Linked DNA regions of Ovis aries. The protein of the gene in region 6 purifies or fractionates together with the protein of the main gene of each other region. This does not show direct contact. Links are inferred from orthologs where the notes say so. Each region holds a gene or a part of one and is shown on either strand. Other genes may lie near its edges. The genes, in order: AURKA, LRPPRC, COPB2, SPAG9, NFKBIE, NFKB1 and RPS3.

Region 1 (3,500 bases), on a different chromosome or scaffold from region 6:
CTCCATCCTATTTGCTTTCCCAGAGTGGTTCTCCACCGCAGAGAGGGGTGGCGTCTCCACGTCGAGAGGAGGCCATTTGAAAGAAGTTCCCAGTTGTTTCTGGAACCTTCTTGCTTCTCCAGTTCCTCATCCAATCCTCCTGTGGTCTTAGCATTGTTGCTAATAGGTCTGTGCTCAGAGCATAGTACTGTCTCAGAACACTTCCCAGCAAGTGCCTCAGCTCCAGAAGTCCAGATTTTTCCCTGTCACAGACTCATTCAGAGGAGGCTATGGTTTGGTTCTTGCCGAGGATACGTGCTGATACCACTTTGAGTATAGAATTATTGATAGGACTGGGGTGTCTGCTACTCATTAATATACCTCATTAGAAAGGATGTGTTTTCTTCAGACTTTAAAATGTTCAATTCTTCCCCAGAAGGCAATGGGCTTTGGAAGATTTTGAAATTGGTCGCCCGCTGGGTAAAGGAAAGTTTGGTAATGTTTATTTGGCAAGAGAAAAACAAAGCAAGTTTATTCTGGCTCTTAAAGTATTATTCAAAGCTCAGCTGGAGAAGGCCGGCGTTGAGCATCAGCTGAGAAGAGAAGTAGAAATACAGTCGCATCTCAGGTAAGTCTTCAAATGGTGTCCGGGAGAGTGGCGTACAGAGCTTAGACTTCAATGTTTATGAACTTCTTTGTAGAAGGCTGGCTTCATAGTACTGCAAAGAATGACTAAATTCATCATTTTTTCAAAGATTTATCTAGACTTAACTGCTGTGGATTGGAAAAATTGCTTGAAGGTTTGTCTTGTTAATGGAGTAATTTACTGGATGAGTTTTGTTTTGTTTTGGTGGATAATTAAAGGAATGATACCTCTTATTTTGAGTTCAGGTTGCACACTGGTAGCCTATAGGTTGACTTTAGCCAGTGGATCTTTTTGTTTTCAGTGAATTTAAAAAAATCTCAGCTAGCCTGTGCTCAGCTGTCCAAAGTCCTCCACAGCACATTTGCTGCCGTTATTGAACATGGCCTGTGTTGTCTGTCTCATGGAATTTGAGTTTCAAACTACTGTGGGAATGGCACGTCTTTTTTTTTTTTTCTTTCAATTTGCGGAGACTTAATATTTAGCTGAATTCTTTCCCCCTAAGAATATAGATGGTTCAAAGGAAGGAAATAGTCTTAACTAAACCTGAGGTCCAGGTTTAATACCTTGGAATGCATGTAAATTGATAGCAGTGTACATATTTTTCTTACAGTGGGTTCATAGCTTCATATTTTCAAGGGCAGTGGAAGGTGGAATCTGTGACCAGCAGCAGTTCTCACCACTGGTTTCACATGAGGGATCTGATACTCAGTACAGATGCCCCACCATACCAGGTGTCCATCTTTCATTGCAGGCATCCAAACATCCTCAGACTATATGGTTATTTCCATGATGCTACCAGAGTCTACTTAATTTTGGAATATGCACCCCTCGGAGCTGTCTATAGAGAACTTCAGAAACTGTCAAAGTTTGATGAGCAGAGAACTGCCACGGTGAGTTTTCATTTACTGTTCAGACTAATTCTGTTTACTCTATACCTGTCCTACACAGTGCTGTACCTTTCATTATATAATAGAGGGGGTTTCGTTTCATGGAAAGCTAGCTTAGTACAGGGGTCCCTCACCTCTGGGATCTAATGCCTGATTATCTGGGGTCAGGCTGATGTAATAATAATAGAAATGAAGCACACAATAAATGTAATGCACTTGAGTCATCCCGAAACCATCTGCCCTACCCCAGGTCTGTGGAAAAATTATCTCCCACAAAATTGGTCCTTGGTACCAACACTGGCTTCAGCTCGGTTCAGTTCAGTCGCTCAGTCATGTCCGATTCTTTGCGACCCCATGAATCGCGGCATGACAGGCCTCCCTGTCCATCACCAACTCCCAGAGTTCACCCAAACCCACGTCCGAGTCGGTGATGCCATCCAGCCATCTCATCCTCGGTCGTCCCCTTCTCCTCCTGCCCCCAATCCCTCCTAGCATCAGAGTCTTTTCCAATGAGTCAACTCTTCGCATGAGGTGGCCAGATTACTGGAGTTTCAGCTTTAGCATCATTCCTTCCAATGAACACCCAGGACTGATCTCTTTCAGAATGGACTGGTTGGATCTCCTTTCAGTCCAAGGGACTCTCAAGAGTCTTCTCCAACACCACAGTTCAAAAGCATCAATTCTTCAGCACTCAGCTTTCTTCACAGTCCAACTCTCACATCCATACATGACTACTGGAAAACTATAACCTTGACTAGTTGGACCTTTGTTGGCAAAGTAATGTCTCTGCTTTAGAGTATGCTATCTAGGTTGGTCATAACTTTCCTTCCAAGGAGTAAGCGTCTTTTAATTTCATGGCTGCAGTCACCATCTGCAGTGATTTTGGAGCCAAAAAAATAAAGTCTGACACTGTTTCTACTGTTTCCCCATCTATTTGTCATGAAGTGATGGGACCAGATACCATGATCTTCGTTTTCTGAATGTTGAGCTTTAAGCCAACTTTTTCACTCTCCTCTTTCACTTTCATAAAGAGGCTTTTAGTTCCTCTTCACTTTCTGCCATAAACGTGGTGTCATCTGCATATCTGAGGTTATTGATATTTCTCCCGGCAATCTTGATTCCAGCTTGTGTTTCTTCCAGCCCAGTGTTTCTCATGATGTACTCTGCATAGAAGTTAAATAAGCAGGGTGACAATACGCAGCTTTGACGTACTCCTTTTCCTATTTGGAACCAGTCTGTTGTTCCATGTCCAGTTCTAACTGTTGCTTTCTGACCTGCATATAGGTTTCTCAAGAAGCAGGTCAGGTGGTCTGGTATTCCCATCTCTTTCAGAATTCTCCACAGTTTATTGTGATCTGCACAGTCAAAGGCTTTGGCATAGTCAATAAAGCAGAAATAGATGTTTTTCTGGAACTCTCTTTCTTTTTCCATGATCCAGCAGATGTTGGCAATTTGATCTCTGGTTCCTCTGCCTTCTCTAAAACCAGCTTGAACATCAGGAAGTTCATGGTTCATGTATTGCTAAAGCCTTGCTTGGAGAATTTTGAGCATTACTTTACTAGCATGTGAGATGAGTGCAATTGTGCGGTAGTTGAGCATTCTTTGGCATTGCCTTTCTTTGGGATTGAAATGAAAACTGACCTTTTCCAGTCCTGTGGCCACTGCTGAGTTTTCCAAATTTGCTGGCATGTTGAGTGCAGCACTTTCACAGCATCATCTTTTCAGGATTTGAAATAGCTCAACTGGAATTCCATCACCTCCACTAGCTTTGTTCGTAGTGATGCTTTCTTAAGGCTCACTTGACTTCACATTCCAGGATGTCTGGCTCTAGGTGAGTGATCACACCATCGTGATTATCTTGGTCGTGAAGATCTTTTCTGTACAGTTCTTCTGTGTATCCTTGCCACCTCTTCTTAATATCTTCTGCTTCTGTTAGGTCCATACCATTTCTGTCCTTTATCGAGCCCATCTTTGCATGAAATGTTCTC
Region 2 (3,500 bases), on a different chromosome or scaffold from region 6:
GTGTGAGCCTGTGTGGTCCGGTTTTTTTGGGGGGGTTGGGGGGAGGGGACTTGAGGGCCTATAAGTTTCTATCAGATTATCAAAGTTGCATAAGTGACTTGAATGTTAACAGCTAAGTGAAAATGAAAGTGAAATAATGATTATCAGTCTTCAGTCTTTCTGGAAATTTTCATACATGACCATCTTAGGGAAAGCAGACACTATGCAAGAGAAGATAAAAACTAGTATCTTCCAAGAAAATTTACCACTGAAAGTGATTCTTTTATAAACTGTGGGGAAAGACAATTTTTATTTGCTGATTTTGAAATAAACATGCAAAACAAAATGCTTCACTCAAAACTTTGCTCTGTTGAATTGGAAAAAAAAAAAAAAAAAAACCACAACCATAACATAAAATCACAAATAGAAATGACAAAATTTAAAGTACCAAACAATGTGCTCCGTAATGAGCTTACCATCAAACCAGAATTTAAGTTCAACTTTTTGAATAGAAAATTTTGAAATACCTGAATGACAGGTGTTATCAAAGACTTTTTGTAGAAGAGTCTTAGGGATGCGGCCAGTTCTTCGGACAGAATTATCTAGCCTCATTAAAGCCCAATCAAATTGGCTGGCATTCCTCCTATGAGAAGAGGTGGGCTCCTCCTGAAGATAATTCTTTTTTTCAGCAGCAATGGAATGTAGCCTAGCTTGGCTCAGTAGACCTCTACAAAATGAAACACAATTAGTAATAAACTATGTCAACTACTATCCACATAGGTCATCTTTGTGAGTAAAATTTATACAAAGCTTTTTTATTAGTTACTGAATACCTAAATTCATAGCGTAATAGCAAAAATGTCCAGAAGTATAAATTGGTAGGGAAGAAAGTTTTGACCTTTGCTTTAAATAAAATCACAAGCACATAAATTGTATGCAAAATAACCTCTTGAATAACTGTCTCACAATGTCTCTCGATAACCTCCCACATGGAATCATCTCAAACTAAGACAATAATATGGTATGTTTTTAAATCTCCCTTATCCAAAACCAAGTTAATGAAGAAAAATGAAGATTATGCTACAAAGCTTTTCTAACCTCTACAAATGAACAAGAGATCTAAAATATACCTAAAATTGTGAAGAATTCTAAAGCACTCTTTGAACATTTTCTAGGTGTAGATATTGAACTATTAATAAGACCCATTTCCAAATATGCAGTTTTTTAAAGGATCATTAATGATAAAAGTATTCCCCATCTTTCTAAATAAATCTGAAACATTTAAGTAAAAAAAAAAAGTTAATAAAGGTCAGACTAGCATACGTATTTACAAAAAGCAAACAACCCTTAAACCATTTAATAAAGCAGGTCTAACATGCAGGCCAAAACATGAAATCAGAGGTATTTCACACTGTAGAAATACAGGCTGTACCTGATTTACAAACATGAAACGGAAATAATCCTTACGTGTGAAGGAAGCCCTGTCATATATCTTTAAACCTGAACTTCCTATACATTCCAATCTCACATAAAATCATCTAATTTGCAGATTTACACATTTACCCCCAAATTTTCAGAAGTAGCCAGTAAGTATAACTAAAGAATACACACTAAGTATATATTAACTAAGTAATAATGTAAAAACACTCTACTTATTAATTCAAGAAAGCCCTTACGATGACAATCACGTTTTTTTAACATGTTACTTTTTTTTTTTTTTAACCACAGTCAATTAGAGGATGAGACGGTTGGATGGCATCACCAACTCAATGGACACGAGTTTGAGGAAGCTCTGGGAGTGGGTGATGGACAGGGAAGCCTGGCATGCTCCAGTCCATGGGGTTGCAAAGAGTCAGACACGACTGAGCATCTGAACTGAACAGTCAATTACCAAAGTAAATACATGCTCATGAGTTTAAAAATAAAATTGTTGACTTCTTATGCTACTAACCTGAAAAACAAATCACAAAACTTAATGTTACATAATGTTACATTAAAGAAAGTAACACCAGTAGTTTCACAAGTTTAAGCAAAACACAGAGGCAGTAATCAATATCCAACTAGAAATTCTACCACCAGGACCCGGGACAAAACACAACCACTCTGGCCATCAATGATTCCACCTGATGTAAAACAGCAGACTGGAAAACAACGGAAAATATCAGAATACTAACTAAAAACAATGTCATCTTGCTTAATTAGGAAATCTAATGATCAGCACTTGTAGATGGCTAATTGATTAAAGCTAGTTAAATGAAATGAATACTAGGTTTTTACCTATGAACCATAGAAGATACACTGCTACATATTGCTACATGTATTTACCCCTTCTAGGAGATCAGTTATTAATAACCTATCCCCAAGTTAGGCAAACACAAAATATTTTAAATCACTCAGAACAATGTGTCAGGTTCAGATGAGTGTAAAATACTGCTCACCAATGAAAGCTAAATAAGAGAGATTTCAAAATCATAGTGAAGGGACTTCCTTGCTGGCTCAGTGGCTAAGACTCTGTTCCCAAAGCAGGGAACCTGGGTTCGCTCCCTGGTCAAGGGAACTAGATCCCACATGCTGCAACTAAGATCGAAGACCCTGTCTGTGTGCCCCAAGTAGCCAAATAAATAAAAATAAATCTTTTAAAAATTGGGGCTTTCCCTGGTGGTCCAGTGGCAAACATTCCGTGCTCCCAAGGCAGGGGGCCTGGGTTTGATCCCTGGTCAGGGAACTAGACCCCACATGTCACAACTAAAGACCCAGAGTGCTGCAACCAAGACCTGGAACAGCCAAATAAATAAAAATAAAGTTTTTAAAAACCATAGTGAAGTGCAGTATTTGTCGATGTTTTTTTAATACAAGCCAAATCTGATAAACTGTGGAGGAGCATAAAAATAAAACCTCTCCTCAAAATGCAGTTTTAACATGTAACATCGAACAAACAAAGTTCAGGGAGAAAACAGAGATGTTAATAAACCAGCACAGTAGACTGAACGTTCGTTCTTTTTTTTTTGAACGTTCTAAAGCTATTTTTTTTCTCACAAATCTTTAATGCTGTCAAATCTCTTTCACGTGTAAGTGTGTTTAGCTTTATTAAGTCAAAATATGATTCTGCTATAAAATAAACTGGGGAGAAGGGTTACATATTTAAACCGAAGGATTCTTCACTCTTCAAAAGGATTCTCCAGTGTTTCCTCGTAGGACTGTGTTTTCTACCTTTTTTTATTTGAGTCACAATTTGTTTTTAAATTCACTTGAACACACCCTGAAAGAAAAAGAATTCTGTAGCTAGGGCTTCCAGGTGGTGCAGTGGTAAAGAACCTATATGCAACACAGAAGATGCAAGAGACACAGGTTTGATCCCTGGGCTGGGAAGATCCCCTGGAGGAGGAATGGTAACCCACTCCAGTATTCTTGCCTGGAAAACTCCATGGAGAGAGAAGCCTGGCAGTCCATCATGGGGTCGCAAAGAGTCAGACATGACTGTGCAACTGGGCATGCATGCAGTCTAGAACGGGTATGTTGTA
Region 3 (4,027 bases), on a different chromosome or scaffold from region 6:
GTGATTTTGCCCAAATTGAATGATCTGTTTACAACAAAAATTAAGGGGGATCAGGATGCCAGTTACTAGTTACTAACTAGTAACTAGATTTGCATTTAAAGCATTAAAATGTCATATATTTTCAAAAGTGTAGCAGTTAGTACATATCAGATCTTTTCATTAGTTGACCATTATGGAATAAAATGCAGAAGTGTTCATTAATTTTGCCTTACAGACTTTCTGAACCTCACAGTTAATCATAAAAACTTTGAATGTATATGTATTTTATAACATATGTATGCATACATTTATATACCTGTGAGAAAAGGTCTGCGCTTCCCTGGTGGCTCAGTAGTAAAAGAATCTGCTTGCCAATGCTGGAGACATGGGTTAGATCCCCGGGTTGGGAAGATCCCCTGGAGAAGGAAATGGCAACCCACTCCAGTATTTTTGCCTGGTAAATCCCATGGCCAGAGGAACCTGGTGGGCTTCAGCCCATGGGGTTGCAAAAGAGTTGGACACGACTGAGCAACTTACAAGAATAGGTCCACTATTTGCTTTTTGGCTGCGCCAGTCTGTCGCTGAGCAGGGGCTTTCTCCAGCTGCAGCAAGCAAGGGCCTCTATAGGTGTGGGGCACTAGCTTCTCACTGTGATGGCTTCTCTCACTGGGGAGCAGGGACTCGAGAGCATGGGGGCTTCCATAGTTGTGGCACATGGGCTCAGCTGCCCTGCAACGTCTCCCCCCTGCATTGGCAGGCAGATTCTTAACCATTGGACCACCAGGGAAGTCTGGTCTATTTCTTATCAATCATTCAAAAACCCAGAAAATTCTGAAGCGAGTATTTGGTGGCATAATCAGACCTAAACTCTTAAGTTATTAGTTGTTCTTATGTTTTTATGCCACTTGGTGTGTTTTTATTGTATTTAGTAGTCACATGTTTTTTGCAGAATATTAACGTTTGTGACTTTGGTGCTGAGGATGTTATGCAATGTATGGCATATTACTTTGTAAAATCCAAGTATTACCTTTTTAAAATCAAAAAAATTCTTAATTCTAAAACACATTATCCACTTTATCGAACTTACACAGGAAAAAAATGGAAATAAAATGGACATTTGGATATTTTCCTACTGGGCACCACTGCATTGTCCAGCACTGTTCATCTTAGAGATGCTGCCCTCAATAATATACTTGTGAAACAGAGTTTCTCCTTTGTATCTCCTGAAGCCCTTAAATGTGTTCGTATCAGCTACCTTGTCTTAAAAAGCCCCTTTAGAGTCTGCCTAGGACAGTTAAGGAGATTGAAAATGGTCACAAAAGCTGTCTTATTTCTCACACTGCTGGAGTCTATTTTGTAGCTCACTGGTGATAAGTTAATGGCTCAGTGACAGAAAAGAGGTATACATGTGGGAGCTGGAGAGGGAATGCTGACTTTGCAGCACTAAATTCACATTTCTCTAATGTGCTAAGTGCCATCATTACAGCATTTATTTGTGGTAACAGTGCCTGTCTTTAATCTGTAGGCTTGATGCTTGCCTGGAGCTTTTGATTAGAACTGGACGACTGCCAGAAGCTGCCTTCCTGGCACGGACTTACCTACCCAGTCAGGTTTCAAGGTACAGACTTTTCATTTTGGGAGGAAATACTTCAGATAAAAACAGAGTCCTTACCAATCTCCCTCTGGTTCCATATCTGTAACAGGGTGGTGAAACTCTGGAGAGAAAACCTCTCAAAAGTCAATCAGAAAGCAGCAGAATCCCTTGCTGATCCAACAGAATATGAAAACCTTTTCCCTGGATTAAAGGAAGCCTTTGTTGTAGAAGAATGGGTGAAGGAAACGCATGCCGACCTCTGGCCAGCCAAACAATACCCTCTTGTCACGGTGAGTGCCTGGGGCGCCTAATTTTGTGTAACTACAAGTAGAAGGGCATTCACAACTTAAGGTTTTAAACTGTACCATCACTTCATGGGAAATAGATGGGGAAACAGTGGAAACAGTGTCAGACTTTATTTTTTTAGGCTCTAAAATCACTGCAGATGGTGACTGCAGCCATGAAATTAAAAGACCCTTACTCCTTGGAAGAAAAGTTATGACCAACCTAGATAGCATATTCAAAAGCAGAGACATTACTTTACTGACTAAGGTCCGTCTAGTCAAGGCTATGGTTTTTCCTGTGGTCATGTATGGATGTGATGGTTGGACTGTGAAGAAGGCTGAGCACCAAAGAATTGATGCTTTTGACCTGTGGTGTTGGAGAAGACTCTTGAGAGTCCCTTGGACTGCGAGGAGATCCAACCAGTCCATTCTGAAGGAGATCAACACTGGGATTCCTAAACTCCAGTACTTTGGCCACCTCATGCGAAGAGTTGACTCATTGGAAAAGACTCTGACACTGGGAGGAATTGGGGGCAGGAGGAGGAGGGGATGACAGAGGATGAGATGGCTGGATGGACATGAGTTTGAGTGAACTCCAGGAGTTGGTGATGGACAGGGAGGCCTGGCTTGCTGCGATTCATGGGGTTGCAAAGAGTCGGACACGACTGAGTGACTGAACTGAACATACGTTTTGGTTTAATTGAGAGCTAGTATTTGGGATTTGGGCTAAGTTCATAGATGAATTATACTTTCAGAATATTTCATTTCATCATTGCTTCATTCCCTGATAGCCAAATGAAGAAAGAAATGTTATGGAAGAGGCAAAAGGCTTTCAGCCCTCAAGATCTGCAGCTCAGCAGGTCAGTGGACTACTACACAAGATAGTCTGGTTGAGATTTGTTGATTTTAAGTACCATCTCCCACTTCCTAATCCCGATTAGTTTTCCCTTTGGGAAAAACTTCAAATTCCTGAACAAATTCCTTTGTTTTGTGGATTTTCAGGAACTTGACGGGAAACCTGCTTCTCCTACTCCTGTTATCGTGACCTCCCAGACAGCCAACAAAGAAGAAAAGGTATTGACATACCCAGCTTCCCAGTGGACGCCAGCCTCACCCTCTCGCCACGTGAACGTGTGCTAGCTGTGCAGGCCTGTTTTAAGTGATGTAATCAGTTTCAGAGCAGGAGCTTTGAAATGGAAAGATACACTTTTCTGACTGTTGGTTTAGTTCTCTTTGGATCATGAGTCACAGGTAACTTTTCTTTAACACAGTACTATAGAACTCACCCTCTTCCTTTTGTTTGCAGAGTTTACTTGAGCTGGAAGTAGATTTGGATAATTTGGAATTAGACGATATTGACACAACAGATATCAACCTGGATGAAGATATTTTGGACGACTAAATAATGTTTCCTGTTTACTTAGCTAAACAGATCATTATTATGGACAGGTACTGATCGTCACCCTGACCACCATGCTTTGGACTCTGAGAAACTCCTTACATTTTTTATATATAGACGTTGTTGCCCACTAGGAGCACAATCCCCTCATCTTCGGAGGAGTTTATGTGCAGCATCTAAATCACTGTTCCCTTATTAACTAAAACAGCTGTGGGCTTTGATTTTTTTCATACTGTCATTGGACCATATCTCATAAAATCCTTTGAATTAATGAAGATACTTCAGAGTTTCCTTTCTGCAGAATGAAAACAGGATTCGAGTTTGGCTGAGCCAAAACTACACCTTTTCTAGGTATCAGCCCATGTTCTCTTCTCTTTGAATAACTATTTTCAAATAGCATCACTCATATTTTTCTTAGAATTGAGTATCTGTGCTATAATTTTCTAAACTTTCCCTTGACCTCACTGCATTATTCCCCTCATTCTATGTAGCTTTCTTATGCCTTCCTCTGACTTTGTCTGGTAGTACCTATTTCTAGAGTCAGCTCCCCTGACCTCATTAAGCTGGGCTGTTTAAATTACCAACTGACCCATTTGGTAACACAGAGACATAGTACTTTTTTTTCTTTCTTTTTATGCTGTACTCATCTGACATGATTAGAGAAATTCATAACCAGGCATTTAAATATACTTCTTGGTTATCCTCTCATAGCCTCGGAAAGTGAGTGGAGTAAACAGTTTTTTCTTTGTATTTCTGATAGAGGCACTATTT
Region 4 (3,500 bases), on a different chromosome or scaffold from region 6:
GAATTTGATAGCCCAGTTATGCTTTTTTTTTAAACTAACTGTCCTCTGACAGTCCAAAGAAATAAAGTTTGGGGATAGAATAAAAGCATGTTTCAGTTTATTTATTTTAGAACATTGTTTATAATTAACCCTCCTGTGATGTCTGTGTGTGTGTGTGTGTGTGTGTGTGTGTGTGTGTGTGTGTGTGTGTAGGTATGTATGTGTAGTTTTAAAACAAACCATCTCTCCTCCTTCTATCCGCACAGAAGAAACTCATAAAATTCAAGATAACTATAAGAGAGAATTAACTTTAGTCTGGATATTAACTGCTATATTTCGTTACTGTGTCTTATTTCCCTTTTCTGTGCCTTGAACCTCCTAGTATGTCAGTGTTACTTCTGGTACAATTGCTGCAATATATATATTTATATACCTTTCACTCCTTTCTATTCTCCCTCCCGTCCGCCTCCCATTGCCTTGCCTTGCCTAGCTGCCTGTCTGCCTGCCTGCCTTCCCTCCACCCTCCCTCCCTCCCTTTCTCACTGTCTCTGAAATGTTTAATATAATCATCTAACTTTGGCTTTACTGGAATTTATTTTTTTAACAGTACACTAAAATGTAAAAATTATCAATTCCTGAAAACTGTAGCTAAACACAATAAGATTTTTTTTTCCTTTTTTCCCACAGTAATGACTCAGATGCATATAAAGATCAAATATCAGTATTGCCAAATGAACAAGACCTGGTGAGAGAGGAAGCCCAGAAGATGAGTAGCCTTTTACCAACTATGTGGCTTGGAGCTCAAAATGGGTGGTAGGTATCAAATCTTTTTAATATTAGAAATCTTAAGTCTTTCAATTTTGCTTTAGAAATCTTAAGATAATTAAAATGTGCTACGTACAAATACAAACAAAAAGTGCCTATTAAAGTGAAGAATTTTATATACACACAATTTTGAAGTTATATTGCAACTACCTCATAACTTGGACTTGGACTTGCATTGGTTCTGAGTGGTGAACCGTATGTTTGTCATAGGATGTTTCCTTCATATAATATTCTTGGGAAAAAAGTTAAGTAAACTTAAAAATCTGGGTGATCTAAAAATAAGAGATCCTGTTGTTCAGGAAATAAAAGGGATTAAAAAAATCTCGGGCTGCAGAAAGGCCTAATTTTAAACATAACTTCTGGGAAAACAAGGACAAATCACAGTCTAAAAGCTTAGGAGTTGATAAACACTATAGGACTTTTCCACTTTGTAGTAGTGTGAAGAGTCTTACAAACTTGTGCTTTTCCTAAGGTTAAACGAAATCACTAGTGGATCTTTCCCATAAAGGACTAATACTACAAAATGAAGGTTTGACGTACGTTTCTCTATGAAGGGTCAGACAAGAAATATATCAGGTTTTGTTGCCTTATGATCTTTGTAGCAACTTATTAACTATGCTGTTGAGGTGCAAAAGCAGCCACTGCATTGACAATACCTAAGTGAACTGGTGTGGATATGTTCTAATAATAATAAAACTTATGAACACTGAATTTCATATAAGTCTTGTATGTCATGAAATACTCTCCTTTTGGTTTTTTTTTTTCCCAACCATTTAAAAAATATAAAGACCATTTTTAGCTTGAGACTGTACTAAGACAGGTAGATGGCTGGATTTGGCCTATGGGCCTTAGTTTGCCGCTCCCTGATGTAAACCGCTCTATTATCAGAAATTTATAGCTCAGTAAGAAGACTATTTTTTTAAAAGATTGATAGCCAAGGATTCTGAAGTATGTGGTAATCTGAAACCAACCATGCGTTAGTTCTGGCTTTTCCTTCTTTTTATGTTTCTGTTTGCTTAAGCAGCTTATTTCTCTGCCTTAGGCCTATCCTTTCCTTGTTTTGTCCTGAAATTTTTATGTTACTCTTCTTTTCTTTTGAAGAAACTTTGTGTCATTATTAGATATAAGCAACTACTTGATGTGTTCTCTATGCCTTACCAGTCTTGATTTTGTTCTTGCAGTTTGTATGTCCATTCATCTGTAGCCCAGTGGAGGAAATGTCTCCATTCTATTAAACTTAAAGATTCGATTCTCAGTATTGTGTAAGTTTTATTTTAGAAATTCTTCCTTTGAAAAATATGTATTTTGGTATAAACTAGATTCTAAGACTATTAAAGTTAACATGTACTTCATGACTAAATCAGTATCCATGTCTTTTTTAACCCTCTTTATGAATGAGATTAAAACTAGAAAATAAACCAAGTAATTTTAAGTAGAAGAGAAAGCTTTCTAGGTTGATTCCTCACTGTTCTGAGAGTTCTTTAGCCTGTTGGTGAGAAAACCAATTAAAACCCGTGATATTTGTTTCAGAATATTCTTTACACTTTGTGAATATGCTGATTGGGTGATTGATTTACCAGTCCTTTTCTGTATGTTGACTGTGAAAAGTCAGTTTGTCTCTTAGATCCACAGAGCTGACTCTTTCTACTCAAGGTGTGTGCCTCTGGTCTGTGGACCTTTTGTCTGCAATGAGAGGAGGTTAGAAAGTGAAACAGCTGAGTCACCACACATGCTTCCTATTGAGTCCAGCTGACATTTTCATAACGAGACTTTTCTCAATGAAGAAAAGAATCTGTTCCTTTAGATTCTCCTGTAAGCTCCTCACATCACAGATTGGTCTTCTGAGAACCTCTGAACTAGTTCAGCAGCGTGTGGTGTCTTCTGCACTCCCAAATGGAGAGTTCTAAGACCCCCTTTCCTGTTTGCAGACATGTGAAAGGAATTGTGTTGGTGGCCCTGGCTGACGGCACCCTTGCAATCTTTCACAGAGGAGTTGGTGAGTTTCATGAATATGTAACATGTGTGCTGATTCGTTGCTTTGCAAGAGCATGTTCAAACATATTGACCTCATATGTTTTAAAGAAATGATATTTCATAGAAGAAAGAATAAAGATTTAAACTGAATACTAACCATGTATGAAATGAGTAAATATGTGAGTGCCTGACTGGAGGCATACATTAATCATACACCTCAGTGAAAATTTGTTTACCATACTGAGCAAATAGTCCTTATGGTCCTCTTAAATAATGTGCAATGGAAGTATTTATTTGTTTTATTTGTTTTCTAATCATAGGCCTAATTTAGTGAGAGTACATGGTTTCTTTTGTCCAGTATTTTAAAAGTAATTTGCATTCACTTACATTTGGAATGTTCTTGAAAAGAATTTTTAATTAGCTAAAGTTTAATCATTTTCTTGTCATGTTTTTTATATTCTTCCCCTTTAAAGTAGTGTTTCTACCATCTGCAGACAGAAGGTGTCAGAAAACTGCGCTGAGTGAATTTAAGAAATTGAGTATATAATTCCTTGGTACATGTATAGTCCAAAAGTGATATTTCCTTCCTACTAGATTGGTAGATCAGGGAAATATAAAAATATAGATCCGATATGAGACTTTGGAAAAGCCTTGCAAAAATTAATTTTTTATTTTATTAATTAATTTTTGCAAGGCTTTTCCAAAGTCTCATATCTTTTTGC
Region 5 (4,242 bases), on a different chromosome or scaffold from region 6:
TAGGTGCAGGAAGTGAGAGTTTGGGCCAGGAAGTGAGGGTTGCTGCGGGAAGCCAGGATCCTGAGGGTGGAAGCTCCAAGTTCCCATCTCTGGCCTTTGGGAGGGCCTTGGCTGAGTGAGAATGTGGGCAGGGTGCTGACGGGACAAGGTCCTTCCTGTCCACCCTGCCCACACCCCGCTCCCCTCTGGCCCCCTGGGGCCCCCACCAGGCAGCTGCAGCTCAAAGCCAAACTGAAAGCCGCTGGGGTAGCACAGAGGTGGTTTCCAGGGCTGGGCTCCCCACCTCTGCCCCCTTCATGGGGAGGGCAGAGAGGGCAGGGGTGGGGTCACCCTCTGTCCCCTCATGAACACCTCCCAAAAGAGAGGAGACAGAAGCTCTTGGAAAAGGAGCAAGGAGACAGGGCAGCGCTCTGTCCTGCTGCTCTCCACGGGACAGCCAGAGGCCATTCTGCAGGGCTGGGACGGAGCCTGAGCTGGGCCCCCGCTCCTGTGTGTGCCTCTGCGGGGAGGACTGTGCAGTGCAGAAAATGTGTGCCTGGGGTGGGGGATAAAGAGCCTTAACCTGGGGCGGACAGGAGGGGAAGTTCCAGCCCTGGGGTTTCCCCACGTCAGGTGGGGAAAATGAAAGCCAGAGCCAGAGGGTCTAGGCCGGGGCAGGCAGCTGCTGGGGCATTCGTCAGGGGGAAGCCTGGCTGAAAGGCCCGTCTGGGTTGGGGAGGGGGCTGCTTGGGGCAGGGGGGGCAGGCTTTGGTGGCTGGCGAGGCCCAGGAGAGAGTGACGGAGGGAGGGAGGGAGGAACCGCGCTGGAAATCCCCTCGGCCAGGGCCTGCTCTCTGGTCACATTCCTGCAGCCACCTCCCTCTCTCCCTCAGTCTCCCTCCTCCCACTTCCTCTTCCCATTTCCACATGTCCACAGCCCAGACACCTCCGGAGGGAAGAAAGCGCCCTCTCCTCTCAGGGAACCCTCTGGGGGGTCTTGACACCTCCCTCCCGCCCCCACCGGGTCTAGATTCCACACCTGTCTCTAACTAGAGGCGATTAAAGCTGGGGCTGAGAGGCTAAGCAAGGGGGGCAGGGCAGAAGCCTCCACTCCCTGGGTCAAAGGTCAACCACAGGTACTCTGCACAGGGCCTGCACAATCTTGGTTGTAGGCCTGAGGGCTGGTGATCTCTAGGTACAGAGGACAAAAAGGCCTAGGGTCACCCAGTGGGTCCAGAGTCTGTCTCTGTCAGAGGCCACCCAGGACCTTTGCATCTCCAAAAAAGCAGATCAAGACAGACAGCTCCTGCTTCCTCCTCCCCATTCATTCCAGCAGCCCAGATCCAGGACCCCAGCCCCCCTCCACTCTGTTTCCCATCCCCAAATCCCAGCCACCCCCTCTCTCATCCATCTTTTCTTCCTGAGGGGTGAATCCTCACCTGGCCAGCCCCTACCACACAACTGCCTCTCTGACCACCCCTCCCCCCGGCCCCGCCCCAGCCCAGTCTCCACCAAGCTCCACCTGGGCCTGGGGAGGAAGGATGAAGTGAAGGGGTCACATATGACAGTGAGGGGGATTTGCAGGGCTCAGGAGGTGGAGAGTGTCGGTAAGGCTGACTCTAGCCCTCACTTCCCCTTTCTCAACAGAGGAGGAAGTTAGCTGGGGTAGCCAGCCGCCTATCTGTCTGCTGGGGCAAGAGTGCCCCAGCCTGGCTCACTGACTCCACAGGCCAGCCTCAGCCATGCACCCCTGGCAGCACCTCAGACCCCAGCTTCCTGGGCCCACCGGCAGCCTGTCACTGGCCCCTCTTGTTCTTTGAGACAGGGCATTCTGAGGTCAGAGGCCGGGAATCCCAGATATTAAGCAAACAAGGATGCTCTGTCCTCCAGCGAGAAAAACAAAACAAAACAAAACTGGGCTGGTCAGGGGAATTTTCTCTTCCCCAGGATGGGTTACTGGTAGATTTCCAAGATGCTAGCTGGGGTTCCAGGTGCTGGTGAGGGCCCTGCCAAAAGGTGGGGCAGACAGACGATGCCAGGTCCTCTGGACTGGGTCTGGATACAGCTCAAAAGTGGGTTGAGAGTTCAGTTTGAAAGAGAGAGTGGGGACCGCCCCTTCCAGAGCTGGTGCCTTTAGGGATCCCCACATAGGGAATGCCCGGCCTGTTACGGCTCTTGGAGAAGGCCCCGAGTTAGCATCGGGGCGGAGGAAGGGGTCCTCTCTTAGCCTAGCCCCCATACTCACGTGTCTCCGTCCTCGGAAATGTACGTGAGTGCTTCCAGCTGCTGAGGGCTCAGCGCCCCGGCGGCGCGGAGCGGGGAGTCTGGAACTGCGCCCTCGGTCCTGGGGTCCCCCGACAAGGACAGGGGCTCGGTGAGCGATGAGGAGCCGTAGGTGGAGTCAGCCCGCTCCCCGTCCGTGTCTTCCTTGTCCTCTGGCTCCTTGGCGGTTCCCGGAGGATGAGTCCAGGGCTGGGGGCCCCCGCCCTCTGAGGGCCCCGAGGCTGGGCGCGGGGTGGACTCGGGCAGGGAGCGCAGGGAGCGCAGAGACTCGATGCCCGAGTCATACTGGCTCTCATCGGTGTCGTCCTGCCCCTTCCGCGCCTCCGACATCCCCGCGGCGCCGGCCCGCCGGGCCCGGTCCCAGGAGGATCCGACTCCTCGCCGCCTTTCCGGGTTGCAGGTCCGCCTCACAGAGCGGGTGCTGGACCCGAAATGGCCTCCTTTCCGGGCTGCGGGTTGGGCTGAGCGGCTCGGCGAGAAGCGTGGACGAGGTTCCGAGCGCCGGCGGGGTCCGCGGCAGCCGCTACTCGGGGCAACTGGGCAGCGCAGTCAGACGCGCTCGCTCGCCCCGCCCTCAGGCCCCGCCCCCGGCAGGCGCCGCGCTTCCGGACGGACGCCCCGCCCTTCGGAATCCCCCTTACCCCGCCCTCTGCTTTGGCTCGGAGTCAGGGGTTCCCCGGTCCTGACTCACTCTTGCGTTAACTCACCCGTTCATTCATTCATCCAACCGTCCATTCATTCACTCTTTCCCCCTCCCTTCATTCCATGTATGAATTCCCTGCATTCTTTCTTTCCTTCCTTCACTTCCTCTGTTTTCTTCATTCATTTTCCCATTCATTTATTCTTTCGTTTAAGAGGAATATATGTTAATCGTCTGCACAAGCTGGGCGTCTTCTGGGGAGGGCACGTGGGAGGTGGGACGGGGAAGCGTTGCTACCTGTCCCCGGCCCACTACTCTCAATTTCTGTTGCTTTTCCCGGAGCCAAAGGGGACACCCATGTCTTTAAAGGAGTTCTCCCTTTGGGTTCTGGAGACAGAGTCTCCTGTGCCAGTTTTTCAGATCACATAGAATTGGACATGAGGATGTGCTCTTCGCAAGTGGTTTTTCTGTTGAAAAGCCTGTGGTCTAAAAAAGCAGAGTGGTCATTCCTCACAGGGATAAAATACTGGTCTCAGACAGTAACAGCATCTGGTTGGGGAAGTGTAGTTCCTCATGGTGGGGCCAGGATGGGGAGGCCCCAGACATTCTGGGCAGCACTCTGCTGAGGTCCCCTTGGCAGCCTCAGCCCTAATACCAGCACATCTTTCCCCTTTCCCCATCCCTATTTTCCCTGGGCCTAGCCTCAGGAGGCTGTAGGCAAATCCCACCCACGTGGTGAGCCCCAAATCAGCTGCCCAAGATTTATCCCCTACCCCAAGTTCCAGAAATGCTCTTAGAAAAATCCCCCCCAAGAAAACATCTCCCTTTCCCAACTCTGGCTTTGAAGGAAGGAAGCTAGGGTGTGAACACGCAGCTACTAACCAGTTTCCCTCCCACCCTCCCCATGAAACCTCATTTTATTCATCCATTTGATAGACATGTAAGGAGCTTCTTCTATATGCCTGACATTGTTCTCTCTGTTGGAAGCAAAACGGAGGCTCACAGTAACAGTAATAACCAACAACTACCATCCCCCCCCAAACAAACAAACATAAAAAAAACTGTCCCATGGTTCCAGCCTTCAAAACCCCCTAGCAGTTACAACTCAGAGTGATTGGGCTAAGATAGGCGTGAGAACAGGACGCTGGAGGGGCACAACATGGGGCCAACTACCCAATGGGGTGAGCGGTAGAGGAGGTTCCATTTGAACTGGAAATGAGAAGGGAAGAGGGCTGGGAAGAAGTACCTAGTTTCTGGGAAGGGGGTGAGTGGAGGGAGAAAGGAGAGGGGAGGACAGTTGGGAGGAGGTGACCCACTGGTCTCCATCCCCCCCTGAAGGC
Region 6 (3,500 bases):
AATGATAGATTCTCAAATTCAAAGCGAAATTTTAAATGCTCAACCTCATATAAAACTCGGTGGGAATAACATTATTTTAAAAGGCTAGACTTAATTCTATGACCCTAAAATCATATATTACTTCTTTCTTCTCTAAAAAGAAGTACCATGGACCCAAGGACCAGTTACTAGGAGGCTGGTCAAAGGAGGTGACTGCCTGACCTTTTCTCAACAGCCTGTCCTCTTGTTGGAACAAGTGCAAGTGTTTAAATAACCGAGTTACCTTTGATTTCAGGATAGTAGAGGAAAGGTTTTGGTTCGCTAGTTTCCAAATCAGATTTCCTCCGAAGCTGCACGAACACAGAGGCTGGTTTTGTAATGTTGACATCTTTATACTTTGGAGTTTTGAAGACAATGGCAAACTGCAGGATACAAAGATACAAATGTTGGAGTAGGACTACATTTCTTTTAAAGCAGTGGTACTCATTAAACACATTCTTTATGCCCAGTGCTTAGACACAGTGTCTTAAAAAAAAATACAACACCCTAGAGAAAGTTACAACCTTGGAATTCTGTACCCATATATTTTTATTATATTGCCAATGTGAAATTGAAATATAAGATTATGCCAATGTACTGCAAATCCTCATTAGTTCACTTGTCTAAAGTTTCAAATGTCTTTCAGTGTAAATAACCATGTGAATAAAATATATTGCATACATCCTCTTTTCCAAATTAGCCTTAAAAGCCTCCAAGATTATTTACAGCAATATCATAAAGACATAATGGAAGGAGAGAGAGGAGGATGGCCAGCCAACAACCACAGCGAAAAACTAAACCCTTAAGGGAGACACTGTGACTGGGTCAGCAACTGTGAGGTGGGGATGGTCGAGGCTCTAGACACACACAGGGCATCTGTAACACCTCTAAGACAGCCTCCTTGATATCTGCTAGTATAAGAATAGTCAGATTTAGTTGTATTTCATCCACAAAATTAACGTTTAATCTAACAGTTACGCACAGAACCTCCCAGAGTTTCTTTATGCTATGTAAACATGAACACAGAATCTTTTTTTATATACACTTTGTTTCATATCTATCTTTTAAAAAATTTCAGTGTTGTATCTTTGAGACCTTTCCGTTAGTCTGTAGAGTATTCATGCTTTCTTAATAACTGTACAATATCCCCTCACATTGACTTAACTGGTCACTAGCTGATGGGCACTTGGATTTTTTCCATTTTGTGTGTGTGTGAAAACTGTATTCCTCAATCACTCAGAGTAATTGTTAAGCTGAGGATTCAGCATTTTCATCTCTTTGTCATATACTCAAATGTTCCTGGGAGATCTTAATTTATCATGATGATATCAGCCTCAACTAGAAGACTCCTCCTGTCAACACTTTTCATTAGAATACCCTTTTAACAAGTCTCCTCAGGTTACTCTGGGAGAATACCATTACAGACTAACTGTGTTTCCTCCAAAGTCATATGGTGAAGCCCCAACAGTGTGGCTGTATTTGGAGACAGGGCCTTTATGGAAATAAGTAAGGTTAAAAGATGTCACAAAGGTAAGGTCCTGATTGGATAGGATTAGTGGTCTTAAAAGGAGAAGCAGCAAAAAAAGAGAAAAATAAAAAGACACGACACCAGAGAGCTTCTTCTCTCTCTGCCATGTTAGGACATAACAGGAAGGTGGCTGTCTGCCAACTCAGGAGAGAGCCCTCATCAGGAGCCAACCCTGTCAGACCTTGATCTGGGACTTATGGGCTCCAGAACCATAAGCAAAAACTGCTTTTGTTTTATTCACTCAGTCTATGATATTTTGTTATTAGTCTGAACAGACCGGTGAAATACATAACACATGTCTACTTAAGGATTTGAGGGTCACAGCCTTGCATCTAGGCGATCAGATCCTGACAGAGCTTTACCCATAATTCTAGGTAGCTTTTCTGGAACAACTCCAAGACATAGTGCTCTTTGATGAAAGTTAAAGAAATACTTATCATTTTTCCTTTTTTATTCTTGGGATCCAAGTACTGAATTTCAACAAAGCAGAAAACATAGTATCATCTTCCGTACCATCATCATCCACTTACTTGTCTATGAACATCTGTGGGGGAAAAATCTCCAAATCCTTCCCAAATTCCACCATTTTCCTCCTCTTCATAAAATCGAATCTGGATGTCATCTGTAAACAGTCACGTTCAGGTGTATAATTTCACACATTATAATAGCATTCGTAAATGTGATGAAAAATAAAGCTGGTTCTAGAGTCTACCTACTATGTACTTAACCTTTTTTTGAAAGTAATTCATATAAAATAGACTTCTGAATTTATTTAAAATTTTGAGTAAAATTTTTTTGTCACCATAGTAATGGGCCCCAAGTTTCATTTACAAGGACAGAATTCTAGATTTACCTATTCAATCTGAGTTTTCTCTTAATCAATCTTCGACGTTCCCACTTCTCCAACCCTAAACCAATTCACTCCCCAGGAACATGAAAGATAGTGAAGAATATCAGAATCCCAAAAGACGGTTCACCTTGATGCAGATTTACATAATATTTAACTTATATAAAGTTTACTATTTGGCAGACACTGTTCTAAGTGATTTTATATGCATATATTAACTGATTTCATCTTCAACTCTGTGATGCAAATGTACTATTAATATCCTCATTCTGCAGAAGAGAAACTGGAGTTCAAAGAGATTAAGTAACTTATCTAAGGCTGAACAGTTAGTAAGGGGAGAGACCAGGATTTGAACACGGACACTGAAGGTTCAGACCCCAGGCTCTTAAACATCCTACTATGCTACCTCTCTACAATATTCTAGTAGTCCCTGTTGAGAAACTGCTAAATTATGTGTTGGTCTAGACCCTTTGGGTTAAATTAGAATGTCTTAATTTCACACTTCAGTCATGGATTCTACTCCTGCAGAAATATGACAATATAACTCAGGTTGGCATCTCCCTGGCTTCACGTCCTCATTCACAGGGAGGCATATACATTATTGACTTGTAAAAACTAAATGTATATTTCTATTTAAATAGAATTTTAGAAATATTAGGGTTGGGTAAGACATTCATAGGACCACCCTGGACCTAGTTATTCAGATTCTTTAAGCTGGGTATAAAACTTCTCTTAATTAGCCATTTCAATGTAATGATGATGACTTAGAGTCACATTTACAAATAAAGGTACTTAGATTGTGTTTACTCATAGTATGCACACCCAGGAATCTAGAAATGCATAATTACTTGGATAGAATTGGTTAAAAGAAAGCTGATACCAGAATCTGCAGAGAAAGTGTAAACATTTTGGGGACAAAGACATACACCTTTATCTTAAAATCTGATCTCATTTTTTCTGACTTTTTATCTCAGAGCATTTGGCCTCAAAGGACAATTTTCTTTTTTTAAAGCCATAGTTCTTTAAATAGGAGGTAAGTTTCCAGTTATACAGCTGCTTACTCTGAAAATGCTCATCAGAGTAAGCAGCTGGGTAACTGCTTGTAGT
Region 7 (4,275 bases), on a different chromosome or scaffold from region 6:
AAATCTTATCAGCAAGCCCAGCTCCGGGGCCAATCTAACCACCTCATGTCCTCTGTTCCTCACATCACTATCTATAAATACCTACTGGGCATACCTGACTAGATTTTAAGCTCTCTTCTCAGCAATGAGTCTTCTCTCTTGAATCCCCAGAGTTACCACCACACAATGTATGTGAATGACTTCAACATGAACCCAAACCATTCCCCACCCCCATCCTACATTCATACTCCCACCGTGCTCTACTAACACCACTCGCTTTTTTAAACACTTGTCTTTACTAGTCTTTCTAACTAGGCTGCAACATGGATTGACAATGTCTTATTGTTAAAGCCCTCAGAGACTAGCTGAGCCTGTCCAGAGTCCACTTACTAAATTAACAAAATAGCTGATATACTGATTCACGAAAGGACACAATTCATAAGGACTCTTACCTCCGCACAGCAAGGCCTCCTAGGAGCTTGTAACGCAGAGACTCTGCCTGGGCAATGGCACACAGTCCTCTTGTGGCTACCTTTTCAGCATAAAGCTTTAAAGAAAACAAGGCACATTCTTAAACTTGTTACACTCATCACCACCGTTTTCAACTAAAAATCAGCACATTCATGATTCAAGCAGACACCCCTCTATGTATCACTCTATTTGTTCTCATTTAGTGGATGAGTGTGCAACCCCATTGGCTACAGCCCACCAGGGTCCTCTTCTTCTCCAGGCAAGAATACTGGTGAAGGTTACCATGCCCTCCTCCAGATCTTCCTGACTCAGGGACTGAACCCGCGTCTCCTACATTGGCACGCAGATTCCTTACCAGTAAGCCACCTGGGAAGCCCTTCACTGTACTACCCAAGTATTAAAGCACTTCTAATGCCCACATCTAACAAACACTCAGGGACGCAGACTGAACTGAACCATTCCTCATTTTTCTCCCACCCCCACCTCTTTCCACAGCCAAATCATGGAGATCAATGGGCAGCCAACCTCTCCTATGTATCATTACTAATTCCAAGATAGGTATAAACTGCTGCCAACTGCTTATTAAAAGACCTTCAACAAAATACCAATCCATTTGTAATACTCACTGATCACAAGTAAGCTTTCAGGGTGATAATATGAGTTTTCAGAAGTACCATCCTAAAGAGGGCTTCCCTGGTGGCTCAGATGGTAAAGAATCCGCCTGCAATGTGGGGAGACCTGGGTTCAATCGCTTGGTTGGGAAGATCCCCTGGAGGAGGGCATGGCAACCAGCTCCAGAATTCTTGCCTGGAAGACTCCCCATGGACAGAGAAGCCTTGGGGCCATGGGGGTCACAAAGAGTTGGACACGACTGAGCGACAAAGCACAGCACAGCACCATCCTGAAGAGCCATTTCTAGCTCCAGAGTAGCCTCTGGCACAAGCCAGGATCACTCACCTCTACACTGCCTTCAGGGAAGCCGAATCTCTTCTGAACCACAGCAGTCAATTCCCGGATCCGCCGGCCCTTCTCACCAAGTACATTCTGTGTCCTGGGGAAAATGAAGAGTGACAATTCACAGCTCTCATAACATTACAGATGTAATTTTAAACCTTGCACACGTGTGGTAGTAAAAATCTAATTCATCTGACACAAGAAAGCATAAATTTTGGATGACAAGAACTAAGAGATTATCTTTTTTTTAAATGCAGCTTAAAAACTCATTCACGATGACTCAACTGTTGTTCTGCTACGTTTACAGAAGAAATCACCTTAGTGCAGACAACAATTACAGGTGATGGCCAGAAAAATGAATTTTTCACCTGGTGGCCAAGATGATGATCTCTGTCCTGGTTGGTGTAACTCGGACCTCAACTCCAGAGTACCCATCTTCGGCCAGCTCCCGAGTGAGAAACTCGTTCAGTTCAGCTTTGAAGATGCCATCAGCGACAAACTAACCAAAAGCAAAATGAAAATGAGGATCTGGACATGGGCTCAGGTTTCTAGCCCAGTCAATGCAACCCTAATCAAGATTCAACACCTCCAACCAACGACCCATCATTAATTATTTTGCCTTGTTCCAGAGAAAACATAGCAACCCTTCTCAGACAAATGCCTCTAAGTCATCTTTTGGAAGTTAACTTTGACCCAGGCCCTTAAAACTGTGCCACAGAACGCGGCACAGGGTAGGGGTCACCTGGACAAAGAGAACACCTCCAGTCAGACTCGTCATCTCCTCTTCATTGAAGGGTTTTAAATAATCAAACCGTTTCCCCCAGGTCCCTTCCCTCTATTTCCCCAGAACGTTTCCTTGACCCCAAGATAGAACAAGAAATTGTCAGTAACCTTCCAAACTGAGGTCCTTGGGGTCAGAAGCCTGCACCCAGACAAGCCTAGGAAGAAGGCAAGCGAACACTGCTACCTCCCTTTCTCAAAGCTACCATTCGATGAGGGAAAGGCTCATGCATTCAAAACATCACATTTAGTAACTTTACTAACTACTGACTAAGAAAGGCTCACAAGCGCTCCTCCACGGCAGGAGGAGCCCTCAGTGCTCATCTCTGCTCTCCGCCCGGAACCGGCAGAAATCCTTCTCTCCTATCCCAGCCATACCGTTCTCAGCAGCCACGGGCCTGCGCTCAATCCACCGCCATCCGCAGCCCACGGGAAAGCGACACAGTCCGGCCGCTGCCCCGGGCATAGCGAAGAGCTATAAGTCTCGCAATAGCACCCAGAAAGGCTCCTGACCCGCGAAACGCCACTTCCCTGCAACCGGGCCCCGGGATCTCACCTTCCTCTTTTTGGAAATTTGCACGGCCATCTTGCCGACGCGAGCCGCCGAAAGGAAAGGAAGTGGCAAGCGGGCGGAAGTGCGTATAAAGGGCGCTGTGCGACGACAAAGAACTGCGCGACGTCGACGCCTGTGAGCGCTCATGGGAAGTGTAGTTTTCACTTTGGTAAAAGGAAAGAGAAAAGCGCGGTCCAAGGGTTGATGCTTTTGAACTGTGAGGTGTTGGGGAAGAAAGGAAATCAATCCTCAGTATTCATTGGAAGGACTGATGCTGAAGCTGAAGCTCCAATACTTTGGCCATCTGATGCAAAGAGCTGACTCATTGGAAAAGACCCTGATACTGCCTTCAGAAAGACTAAAGTCAGGAGGAGAAGGGCAGGACACAAAGGATGAGACAGTTGGATGGCATCACCGACTCAATGGACATGAGTTTGAGCAAGCTCCGGGAGATGGCGATGGACAGGGAAACCCGGCGTGCTGCAGCCCATGGGGTCGCAAAGAGTTGGACACAACTGAGCGACTGAACAACAACAATATCCAGAAACCTGGGCTTTCCAGGTGGCACTAGCGGTAAAGAACCCGCCTGCAAATGGAGGAGAGAGAGTGGTGAGGGGTCGATCATAGGGATGAGGGGTCGATCTCCAGGTCAGGAAGATCCACTGGAGGAGGGCATGGCAACCCACTCCAGTTTTCTTGCCTGGAGAATCCCATAGACAGAGGAGCCAATATCTCAATCAGAGCTTTAAAAATTCAGGGAAGTTTAGAGTCCAGTTCTCATCAGTTTAATTAGAGCCCAGTTCTCATCAGTTTAAAACCAAGTATAAACACACACTTATCTGCTAACTTTATTCTTTAATGAAAAAAAGTAAAAGCACTTTTGGGCTGAAAGCCCTCAGAGAAATTCACTGAGGCACCTATCTCTTCCAATTTGTGTCCACTTCCTCTGTTGCAAACTGATAATATATATATAATATGTATTAAATATTCTAAGGACTGTTTTAGGACTTTATATTATTAATTCATTACCTCTACCTCACGTTCATAAAGTATGTTACAGCTTGTAACAGAAGTTACGATAATGGCTCGCAATTCTTTTTCAATTAAAAAAAATCTCCCCTCGCAGATTTTATTACAAAAAATTTCAAACATACAGAAAAGTTGGAAGAACTATACAGTGTACACCTATATATGCATCCCTTAGGTGCTGCAATTAACATTTTTTTCTGTATTTGCTTTATCAGATATTTATCCTTGCCTCTATCCACCCAACAGTGCATCTTTTGATACATTTCAAAGTTACTTTCAGGCATCAGGACACTTCACGCCTTAAATTTTCCCAACAGTTTTTTTTTTTTTTTTTTTCCAGTTTTACTGAGAAATAATTGACATACATCAATGTATAAGTTTAAGGCATACAACATAATGGCTTGATTCACATATCATGAAATGATTACCACAAGAGATTCAGTTAACATCCATCATCTTATATAGATACAAAAATAAATTGAAAAAAGAGAAAAAGTTTCCTTGTGACG

What was found.
Region 1: the proteins of NFKB1 (region 6) and AURKA purify together in Homo sapiens (affinity purification with mass spectrometry; 4 studies listed by BioGRID and IntAct, counting the BioPlex papers as one, with this or other methods). This does not show direct contact. The link is inferred for Ovis aries from reciprocal best matches to the Homo sapiens genes NFKB1 and AURKA.
Region 2: the proteins of NFKB1 (region 6) and LRPPRC purify together in Homo sapiens (affinity purification with mass spectrometry; 3 studies listed by BioGRID and IntAct, with this or other methods). This does not show direct contact. The link is inferred for Ovis aries from reciprocal best matches to the Homo sapiens genes NFKB1 and LRPPRC.
Region 3: the proteins of NFKB1 (region 6) and COPB2 purify together in Homo sapiens (affinity purification with mass spectrometry; 5 studies listed by BioGRID and IntAct, with this or other methods). This does not show direct contact. The link is inferred for Ovis aries from reciprocal best matches to the Homo sapiens genes NFKB1 and COPB2.
Region 4: the proteins of NFKB1 (region 6) and SPAG9 purify together in Homo sapiens (affinity purification with mass spectrometry; 5 studies listed by BioGRID and IntAct, with this or other methods). This does not show direct contact. The link is inferred for Ovis aries from reciprocal best matches to the Homo sapiens genes NFKB1 and SPAG9.
Region 5: the proteins of NFKB1 (region 6) and NFKBIE purify together in Homo sapiens (affinity purification with mass spectrometry; 4 studies listed by BioGRID and IntAct, with this or other methods). This does not show direct contact. The link is inferred for Ovis aries from reciprocal best matches to the Homo sapiens genes NFKB1 and NFKBIE.
Region 7: the proteins of NFKB1 (region 6) and RPS3 purify together in Homo sapiens (affinity purification with western blotting; 3 studies listed by BioGRID and IntAct, with this or other methods). This does not show direct contact. The link is inferred for Ovis aries from reciprocal best matches to the Homo sapiens genes NFKB1 and RPS3.

The regions. Positions count from the first base shown.
Region 1 is NC_056066.1:59,216,890-59,220,389, forward strand, and holds part of AURKA (aurora kinase A), read left to right. Parts: intron 1-415; coding exon 416-607; intron 608-1,376; coding exon 1,377-1,515; intron 1,516-3,500. UniProt on the Homo sapiens protein: Mitotic serine/threonine kinase that contributes to the regulation of cell cycle progression.
Region 2 is NC_056056.1:80,311,731-80,315,230, reverse strand, and holds part of LRPPRC (leucine-rich PPR motif-containing protein, mitochondrial), read right to left. Parts: intron 707-3,500; coding exon 507-706; intron 1-506. UniProt on the Homo sapiens protein: May play a role in RNA metabolism in both nuclei and mitochondria. In the nucleus binds to HNRPA1-associated poly(A) mRNAs and is part of nmRNP complexes at late stages of mRNA maturation which are possibly associated with nuclear mRNA export.
Region 3 is NC_056054.1:250,348,577-250,352,603, forward strand, and holds the end of COPB2 (coatomer subunit beta'), read left to right. Parts: intron 1-1,504; coding exon 1,505-1,597; intron 1,598-1,682; coding exon 1,683-1,863; intron 1,864-2,648; coding exon 2,649-2,717; intron 2,718-2,859; coding exon 2,860-2,931; intron 2,932-3,163; coding exon 3,164-3,259; 3' UTR 3,260-3,527; downstream 3,528-4,027. UniProt on the Homo sapiens protein: The coatomer is a cytosolic protein complex that binds to dilysine motifs and reversibly associates with Golgi non-clathrin-coated vesicles, which further mediate biosynthetic protein transport from the ER, via the Golgi up to the trans Golgi network.
Region 4 is NC_056064.1:35,517,937-35,521,436, forward strand, and holds part of SPAG9 (C-Jun-amino-terminal kinase-interacting protein 4), read left to right. Parts: intron 1-666; coding exon 667-792; intron 793-1,985; coding exon 1,986-2,066; intron 2,067-2,732; coding exon 2,733-2,800; intron 2,801-3,500. UniProt on the Homo sapiens protein: The JNK-interacting protein (JIP) group of scaffold proteins selectively mediates JNK signaling by aggregating specific components of the MAPK cascade to form a functional JNK signaling module.
Region 5 is NC_056073.1:17,751,117-17,755,358, forward strand, and holds the start of NFKBIE (NF-kappa-B inhibitor epsilon), read right to left. Parts: upstream 2,801-4,242; 5' UTR 2,593-2,800; coding exon 2,225-2,592; intron 1-2,224. UniProt on the Homo sapiens protein: Sequesters NF-kappa-B transcription factor complexes in the cytoplasm, thereby inhibiting their activity. Sequestered complexes include NFKB1-RELA (p50-p65) and NFKB1-REL (p50-c-Rel) complexes.
Region 6 is NC_056059.1:22,569,264-22,572,763, forward strand, and holds part of NFKB1 (nuclear factor NF-kappa-B p105 subunit), read right to left. Parts: intron 2,169-3,500; coding exon 2,077-2,168; intron 402-2,076; coding exon 263-401; intron 1-262.
Region 7 is NC_056068.1:53,317,402-53,321,676, reverse strand, and holds the start of RPS3 (small ribosomal subunit protein uS3), read right to left. Parts: upstream 2,801-4,275; 5' UTR 2,771-2,800; coding exon 2,741-2,770; intron 2,199-2,740; exon of another isoform or gene 2,049-2,198; intron 1,904-2,048; coding exon 1,773-1,903; intron 1,502-1,772; coding exon 1,408-1,501; intron 527-1,407; coding exon 432-526; intron 1-431. UniProt on the Homo sapiens protein: Component of the small ribosomal subunit. The ribosome is a large ribonucleoprotein complex responsible for the synthesis of proteins in the cell. Has endonuclease activity and plays a role in repair of damaged DNA.